Canis lupus familiaris: one gene and its partner. The protein of the gene in region 1 purifies or fractionates together with the protein of each later gene. This does not show direct contact. Links are inferred from orthologs where the notes say so. Each region holds a gene or a part of one and is shown on either strand. Other genes may lie near its edges.

Evidence for each region.
Region 2: the proteins of AP1M1 (region 1) and ATG9A purify together in Homo sapiens (affinity purification with western blotting, with the first as the bait; 3 studies listed by BioGRID). This does not show direct contact. The link is inferred for Canis lupus familiaris from reciprocal best matches to the Homo sapiens genes AP1M1 and ATG9A.

What each region holds. Positions count from the first base shown.
Region 1 is NC_049241.1:46,687,770-46,691,583, forward strand, and holds part of AP1M1 (AP-1 complex subunit mu-1), read right to left. Parts: intron 3,238-3,814; coding exon 3,090-3,237; intron 1,525-3,089; coding exon 1,489-1,524; intron 1-1,488. UniProt on the Homo sapiens protein: Subunit of clathrin-associated adaptor protein complex 1 that plays a role in protein sorting in the trans-Golgi network (TGN) and endosomes.
Region 2 is NC_049258.1:25,643,350-25,647,036, forward strand, and holds the end of ATG9A (autophagy-related protein 9A), read right to left. Parts: coding exon 3,537-3,687; intron 3,414-3,536; coding exon 3,296-3,413; intron 2,856-3,295; coding exon of another isoform or gene 2,772-2,855; exon of another isoform or gene 2,595-2,771; intron 2,498-2,594; coding exon 2,275-2,497; intron 2,100-2,274; coding exon 1,954-2,099; intron 1,612-1,953; coding exon 1,606-1,611; 3' UTR 543-1,605; downstream 1-542. UniProt on the Homo sapiens protein: Phospholipid scramblase involved in autophagy by mediating autophagosomal membrane expansion. Cycles between the preautophagosomal structure/phagophore assembly site (PAS) and the cytoplasmic vesicle pool and supplies membrane for the growing autophagosome.

The DNA of each region.
Region 1 (3,814 bases):
GATGAAACCAAAAACCTGAATCGTATAACCGTTAAGAGGATTGAAATTTGTAGTTAAAAATATGCTGAAAAAGGAATGCCTGGGTGTATCTGTTGGTTAAGCATCTGACTCTTGCTTTTGGCCTAGGTCATGATCTCAGGTTGTGAGATTGAGCCCCACACTGGGCGTGGAGCCTACTTAAGATTCTCTCTCCCTCTCCTTCTGCCCCTCCCCTCTCTTAAAAAAAAAAAACCTGAAAAAGAAATTTCTAGACTCAGATAGTTTCACTATCAAATAAATTAATTCTACCAAATAAAATTAAAAATATACAATTTACGATACCTTCAAAAAATGAAATACTTAGGTATAGCTCTAAAGAAAATGTATAGGTAGTAAAAACTACCAAATGTTGATGACAGAAATCAAAGATGACCTACCTAGAGAGAAAAAGACACATACAGCGTTTTTGGATTGTGAAGCTTAATATACTAAAGATAACAGTTTTCTTCCATACTGATTAATACAGTTATTTAATAAAATAACAATTAAAATCCCAGTAGGATCTTTTTGTAGATAGAGACAAGTTGATTCTACAATTTTATACAAAGGGACTAAATAGCTACAACAATTTCAAAAAAGAAGAATGTTGGAAGAATCACATAATCTGATGGAGACGTAATAAAGTTACAGTTATCAAGACAGTGTGGTATTGGCAAATAAACAGATACACAGATCTGAGGCCAGATATAGACTTGCATGAATATGGTCGATTGCTTTTTGACAAAAATACAAGTGCATTTAATGGAGAATGGGATGGTTTTTTCAAAAAATTATATTGGAACAACTGCAAAACACTGTTCTACATGCAAAAATAAATGCATATAAACCTCGTACCTTATGTAAAACTTAACTCAAAATGATCATGGATCTAAATGTAAAACTACAAAACTATTAGAAGAAATTCAGGAGAAAACCTGTATGACCTTAGATTTGGTGATGAGTTCTCAGACATGGCACCAAAGGCACACATCAAAAAATCGGTAACTGGACTTTCTCAAAGTTAAAAACTTTTGTCCTGTGAAAGATACTGCACCAAAAGAATGAAAAGACAAGTGACAGACTAGAAGAAGACATCTGCAAATCACATATCAGATGAGAGATTTATAATCCAGAATATATAAAGAACTTTCAAAATGCAACAATCAGAAAACAAACAACCCAATTTAAAAATACTCAAATGACATGAAAAGACACTTCTCCGAAGATGATATGTGGATGACAAAGGAAGCACATGAAGAGGTGTTTAACATCATTAGCCATTAGGGAAATTACAAATTAAAGCCATGATAAGCTAACACGACACACTGATTAAGATGGCGAAAATTAAAACACCGATCAAGGATGTGGAGCAACCAGAATGTTCATCCACTGCTGATGAAAAGGCAAAGATGGTGCAGTCACTCTGGAAAACGATTTGGCAGTTTCTTATAAAGTTAAACATACACTTACCATATGACCCAGCAATCCCACTCCTGGGTGTTTTCCCTAGAGAAATGAAAACTTCTGTCTACACATAAACCTGGATGTGAAACATTTATAGCAACTCTATTCACAACTGCCCAACACTGGAAAAAAACCCAAAAGTCCTTCAATAGGTTGAATGGGTAAACAAGGTATGCTTCAGGATATAAAATAAATATAAGAAGAAACAAACTTCTGGTAAACGTAGTAACTTGGATCTATCTCAAAGACATTATGCTAAGTGGAAGAAGCCAGGGACGCCTGGGTGGCTCAGTGGTTGAGCATCTGCCTTTGGCTCAGGGCGTGATCCTGGGATCCGGGATCAAGTCCCACATTGGGCTCCTTGCAGGGAGCCTGTTTCTCCCTTTGCCTGTGTCTCTGCCTCTCTCTCTCTCTCTCTCTCATGAACAAATAAATAAAATCTTAAAAAAAAAAAAAAAAAAAAAAAAAAGGAAGAAGCCAGACTCAATAGGCCACATACTGTACAATGCCATTCATAGGACAATCTCAAAAAGACAACATTCTAGAGTTGTCCTCCTTATCTGCAGGAAATATGCTCCAAGACCCCCAGTGGATGCCTGAAACTGCAGACAGTACCAAATCCTATATATACTATGTTTTTTCCTATATAGATCTCTAATAAATTTTAATTTATAAAATTTAATTTATAAATCAGGCACGGTAAGAGATTCACAATGAATTAATTGTGACATGGGACAATTAGAACAATATACTATAATAAAAGGTAAGTGGATGTAGTTTCTTTCTCTCTCAAAACACCTGATTGTACTGTTACCCACCGTTCTTGTGATGATGTCAGAGGACAAAGCGCCTACATGACAACGTAAAGTGAGGTGAATGACATAAGCCTTGTGATGTAGTGTGAGGTGGCCACTGACCCTCTGACAATAGTCAGGAGGAGGACATTCTGACTGAGGACCATGGCTGACTGGGGAAGAGAAACTGTGCAGTGCCAGGGACTGGAGTGGTGGCTGCCAGCAGTGGGGGGAGAGGCGGAAGGGTCAGACTGCCGAGGGCGGCAGTAGGGAGGGCTTAGAGGGGATGTAGCTCCTGATTATGGCACTGGGGTACAAAAATCTGTACATGTGCAGAAATTAACAGAAAAGAAGGTCAATTTTATTAGTGAAAATTTAAAAAATAAAAGGAAAAAGCAAACATACACAGTCAAACAACAATAATAAAACAAGTTGCAGAACCACATCCTACGCTCTCGGCTTCATGGAAAGAACAGTGCATGTTTGTGAATTTACAGAATGAGGTCCAAAAGGATGCTAATAAATCTTAAATGAGGTGGTCTTTCTGAAAATGGAACACTCTGCTAACTCTCCACACTGCTTTAAAGAGTGACAGCCACGATGTGTCTGCATTGATTCTAAACAGGAACACAAGCTAGTGGAGAGAAAAGAGGCTCAGCCATGAGTGGCCTAAGCTGAACCCTGCTGATCTGCTGTCATAAAGAAAGTAAATGTCTCTCAGCGCCTTGCTAGTTTTAAAAGTCCCAGTGCTTTTATTTCAACCATGGAAAAGACAAAATTTTTCTGAAAGAAAAGGAAGGAAAGGAAGCCTACCAAGAGGTTGACAGACTCGATGACATCCAAGAACACCTCATTCTTCCGGTACTTGATGCCCTCGGACCGCCAGGACACTGCATTGGTGACAGTGGCTGGGGGCCTCGGGGCCCCCGTCTCCAGCTTGTGGCCTTCCTGAGTGATGTACCTGTGGGACCGTGCCAAGAGTTAAGGAGTTCAGGCACTGACATTTTGAAAACATTCCCTCCCTAGAGCAGGTTCCAGAAAAGGCAGGCTCTGGTTTCACCTGAGCTGTTTAATACAAGAATATCTTACAATGTGTCCATAAAGCCCTGACAAACTTGAGTTACAATGAGCATAGAGTGTTCATTTTTCACTTGAGGGATGGTGCAAGGAGGGGACCTGAATTTGCTCTTCTGCTCGATGTGCAGAGGGGACTGACCCTTGGGGGAGAAGCTGGTGACCCCAATACCACTTGGGGAACAACAGGTGTGAGATGTGGGCCAGTTATGTGGCTTCTCTGAGTGCCCCTCTGTGCCATGTGAAACAGGGAGCAGCACTCCAGACTCTGAAAAGAGTGAAGGGGAAGTGCTCGCATGGGAAGTCCTTAATTCACCTGCCCCCAAGTGTGAAGCACACGACTGCAAAGAAGAATGTGCTTTTCTCTCATGTAGGACGGTGGAAACAAATATTGGTGACTCCCGAGCGACAAAGCATTTAGTGCACGGCTTAGCACCAGGGGGGACACTGAACTGCCGAGAGCC
Region 2 (3,687 bases), on another chromosome or scaffold:
CGCGCAGGGGCACACGTGGGCCCGCCCACGCTCCCCCCGCTCCCCTGCCCCGCGCACGCGCCGCCGCCGCGCACTCACGCAGGGCACGCACGCCCTCCTCGCGCGTCCGTCCGCCCCCCGCTCGCCGCCCGGGACCCTCCGGCCGCGTCCGGGCCCAAGGAATGTGGAGCGTGCGGCCGGCGCGGCGCCGGCGCGGCAGCCCCGCCCACGGGGCGGCCCCAGCCCCTACCGGGGCCCCCATTGGCCAGCCTCGCCGAGGGGGCGGGGCGCGGGGAGAGCGTGCACGCGGAAAAGGCAAAATACAGGGGCGGGGCCGGCCCGGTCACGTGCTCAGAGCGCGAAATCTGACCGCACGTCCGACCCGAGACCTTGACCTCCGCGGCGCGGCGCTGGGAGGTGGTCCTGCTCGCTGGCCCGCCCGGTGTATCCGAGTGACGGCGTCGGCCCACCTTCCCACCGCCCGGCCGGGCCCCCACCAGCAGGGGGCTCGCCCGCACCCCACTCCGCTCCTTCCCGGGATCCCAGCCGCGCGACGCAACAAGCCCGGTCAAAGTCCCTTTTTTATTAAGGGTTATCAAGCTGTACACAGTTCCTACGCCTTCCGCTGTGAGCCCGGGCAGCGCCGCGTTCCACGCCCGCAGCGGCCCGGGCGGGCGAGGGGTGGGGCGGAGAGTAGGAGCTGGGTCCCAGCATGCAATGCGGCAGCTCACAGCCTCGGGCGCAGGCCTCCTGTCGCCCCTCCAGCCCCGGGGGGAACAGCGGGAGGCAGCCCAGAGCTCTCTTGCTGGGAGGTAGACAGCCGAGGGCACAACCAGCCCAGTCCGTCCTTTGTGCAGGCGGTTAAGGGGTACAATAAGCAGCAATGGAGGCCAGGACGGCCTCAGTCTCTCAGGGGCCCTGCTTCAAACTTGGAGAGGGCAGCAAAGAACTTCCATCCTGCTCCTGCCTTTTAGAAACCTTCCTTCGTAGTGTCAAAAGGTAGCATGAGAGGAGCTGGGAGCTAGGGTCTCCACACCAGTGCGAAGCAAAAGCTGAACAGAACGGGAGCAAGCGAACAGAACAGAGTAAGCGGCATACATGCCTGTCATGTGCAGGAAGCAGGAGAGGTGAGCAGGCTGTAGCACTGGGAGAGAACTGGGGGTGAGGTAAGGGCCACAGCCTGAGCTACTCATCTGTTCGGGGTGGGGGAGGGAGGCTGCAGAGGTTGAGGGTCCGGGCCCAACCTCCCCACTCCACAGTTGGCACAGGTTCTCCCTGCTTGGCAGCTTCTGTGGTGGGCAGTCCTCTGGAGACTTGCAGGGGTGGGTGCAAAGGTGGCAGTACTGGGGCTGGACCGGGGACCAGTTTCTAGCACCACACTCTGAGCCAAGGGGGGTCCTGGGGATGAGGCTAGAGTCCTGTGTGCCTTGGTTCCTAGGCCCCCAATTTCTCTCCTGGGGCTGCGGCAAGCCCAGCGTTGGCACCTCCCTTGGCCAGGCACAGACACACAAACACCACACACGTGGAGCCAGGCAACAGTCAGAGGAGCCCTCCATGGCGGGCAGATGGGATGGCAGGGCAACCGTGGCCTCCATCCTGGGACATAGGGACCCTCCTCAGCCTTGTCTATACCTGTAGAGAGAAAAGGGTCAGTAGTGGAGACCATCTTCAGCTATCTGCTTACCACCTTCCTGCAAAAAAGCAAAACAAAAACACACACACACACACACACACACACACACACACAAAACCTTGGAGATAAATGAAGGGGAAAGCTTGATTCCAGGGGAGGAAAGTGAAGGGGAAAATTAAGCCCTGGATTCCAGAGTAGGGGAGGCAAAAAATGGGAGTGTATTTTGGAGGGGAAGGGACAGTACCTCCATACGAGAGGCCTGCCTTCTTTCACAGGAGACTTTGATCTCAGCCTGGAAGTTACTACATCTGGTAGCTGTTCTCCAGTCCTGGGGCCCTTACCTTGTGCACCTGAGGGGGAAGCTCATCCTCCGAGCCCTCCTCGGGCACCGGCTCTGGGTGCCTTGATGCTGACTGCCCATCTTCAGCCCACCCTCCAAGGGGCAGCCGGGAGAAGTGAGAGGGAGCCCGGGGTACCGTGCCAGGATCTAGAGACACAAGTAAACATGGTCTTAGAACGAACACAAATGTGGAGCAAGGTTCTGGGGCTGTTCAAGGTGGGGGTAAGGGTTAGTCTCTTTGGGCTTGATCCCTCTGACTTCTTTCCTCCCCAAGAGGCCCCCCCAAAGAGCCACTGTACCCTGCTGTACCCCCGTTGGATACCTGTGATACCCCCATAGCGCCTCTGGAAGCCCCCCTGCAGGGCGGTGGTCTCGGGTGCTCCAGGCCGGGGTGCAGCACAGGGATAGCTGGCAGAGCGGGGGATAGGTTGGGAGGCCCGGGAGCCCTCTCCCCCCTCTTCAGGGGCGCTCTCCCCACTCTCATCGCTCTCCCGGCGATGCCACACATGCCGCTCAGGCTCGGCCTGGGCTTGCTGTTTATGGAGCTGAGAAGTGTGGGGAGTGGAGGGTGACACTCATTAGTTAAGGCTAGGATATCTGAAACAGCTGCCCCCACTACACTGTTCCAAATGTTCCCATTTCTGGCACCGCGCCCAGAATCACTGACCCAGAGTAACTATCTTATTAACAGTGTGTAAGACACATACGACATCTTATAGGTTAAACTCTCAGCAGATCCCTGGAACGAACCTGTTGCATAAGTTGTGATGGCACTCGTTTTGCCTAGTCATTTGAGTCAAGAACAAGTTGGTGGTACATCTAAGTGCCAGGCACTCTTTCAAGGTGCCAGGAAGATAGCACTGAACAACAGACAAAAATCTCAGCCCTTGTTTGGCTTGTATGCTGGAGGCAGAGGTGGTGCGGGGGGATCAGAGACAATAAAATAAAAGAGGGAAAATGCAATAGATCAGATAAATGCTACAGAGAAAAATAAAAGCAGGGAGAGTCGGGGGTGGCCAAGGGAGACTCTTTTGGTCAGGGTGGCCAGAGACGTCTCATGGAACAGTTAAGAACAGACAGGTGATTAAAGGAGGGAGCCATAAGCATATCTAGGGAAGTGGATTCTTGGCAAGGGAAATAGCAAATGTGTCAAGGCCCCGGATGACAATAAGCTTGCCTAAAAATGGATGGCAAAAGGGTATCTGCAGGAATGGAGCTTAGAGTAGGTGAATAACAGACAAGGGTTCCAGACCCATGTCTTGCTTTTCCTTGCCTAGAACCCTCTATTCTATTTGTCAGTGGCCAGCTTGACTCTGTGGCTCTGCCCCTTGCTGCCCACTCACCTGGTGCATATAGAGGGCGTGCAGGCTCATCTCGGTGGATGCGTACTCCGACAGCACCAGGCTCTGCAGCTGTCCTTCCCACACGCTGCTCCCGGAGCTGGCTGTCCTGGCATCCACCCTGTCCCTCCCAGCACAGACAGACCGCAGCCGTCAACATTTCTAAGAGCCCCAAAGTTACTGGGGCGGGGGGGGGGGGGGGGGGGATTGCCACGCCCTTCCACCGAGGCCCATCTCTACTCACCCAGAGCCTGTCATGGTGCTAGGAGCTCGGCCTGCGGGAACCTGACCGGGGTGCAGAGGGGAGAAGGAGCGCAGGGCAGAGGCGACTTCGGCCCTGTGCCTGGAACCCTGCAGGTCTCTGGGCAGTGGGGGGCCACGGCACGAGGAGCCAG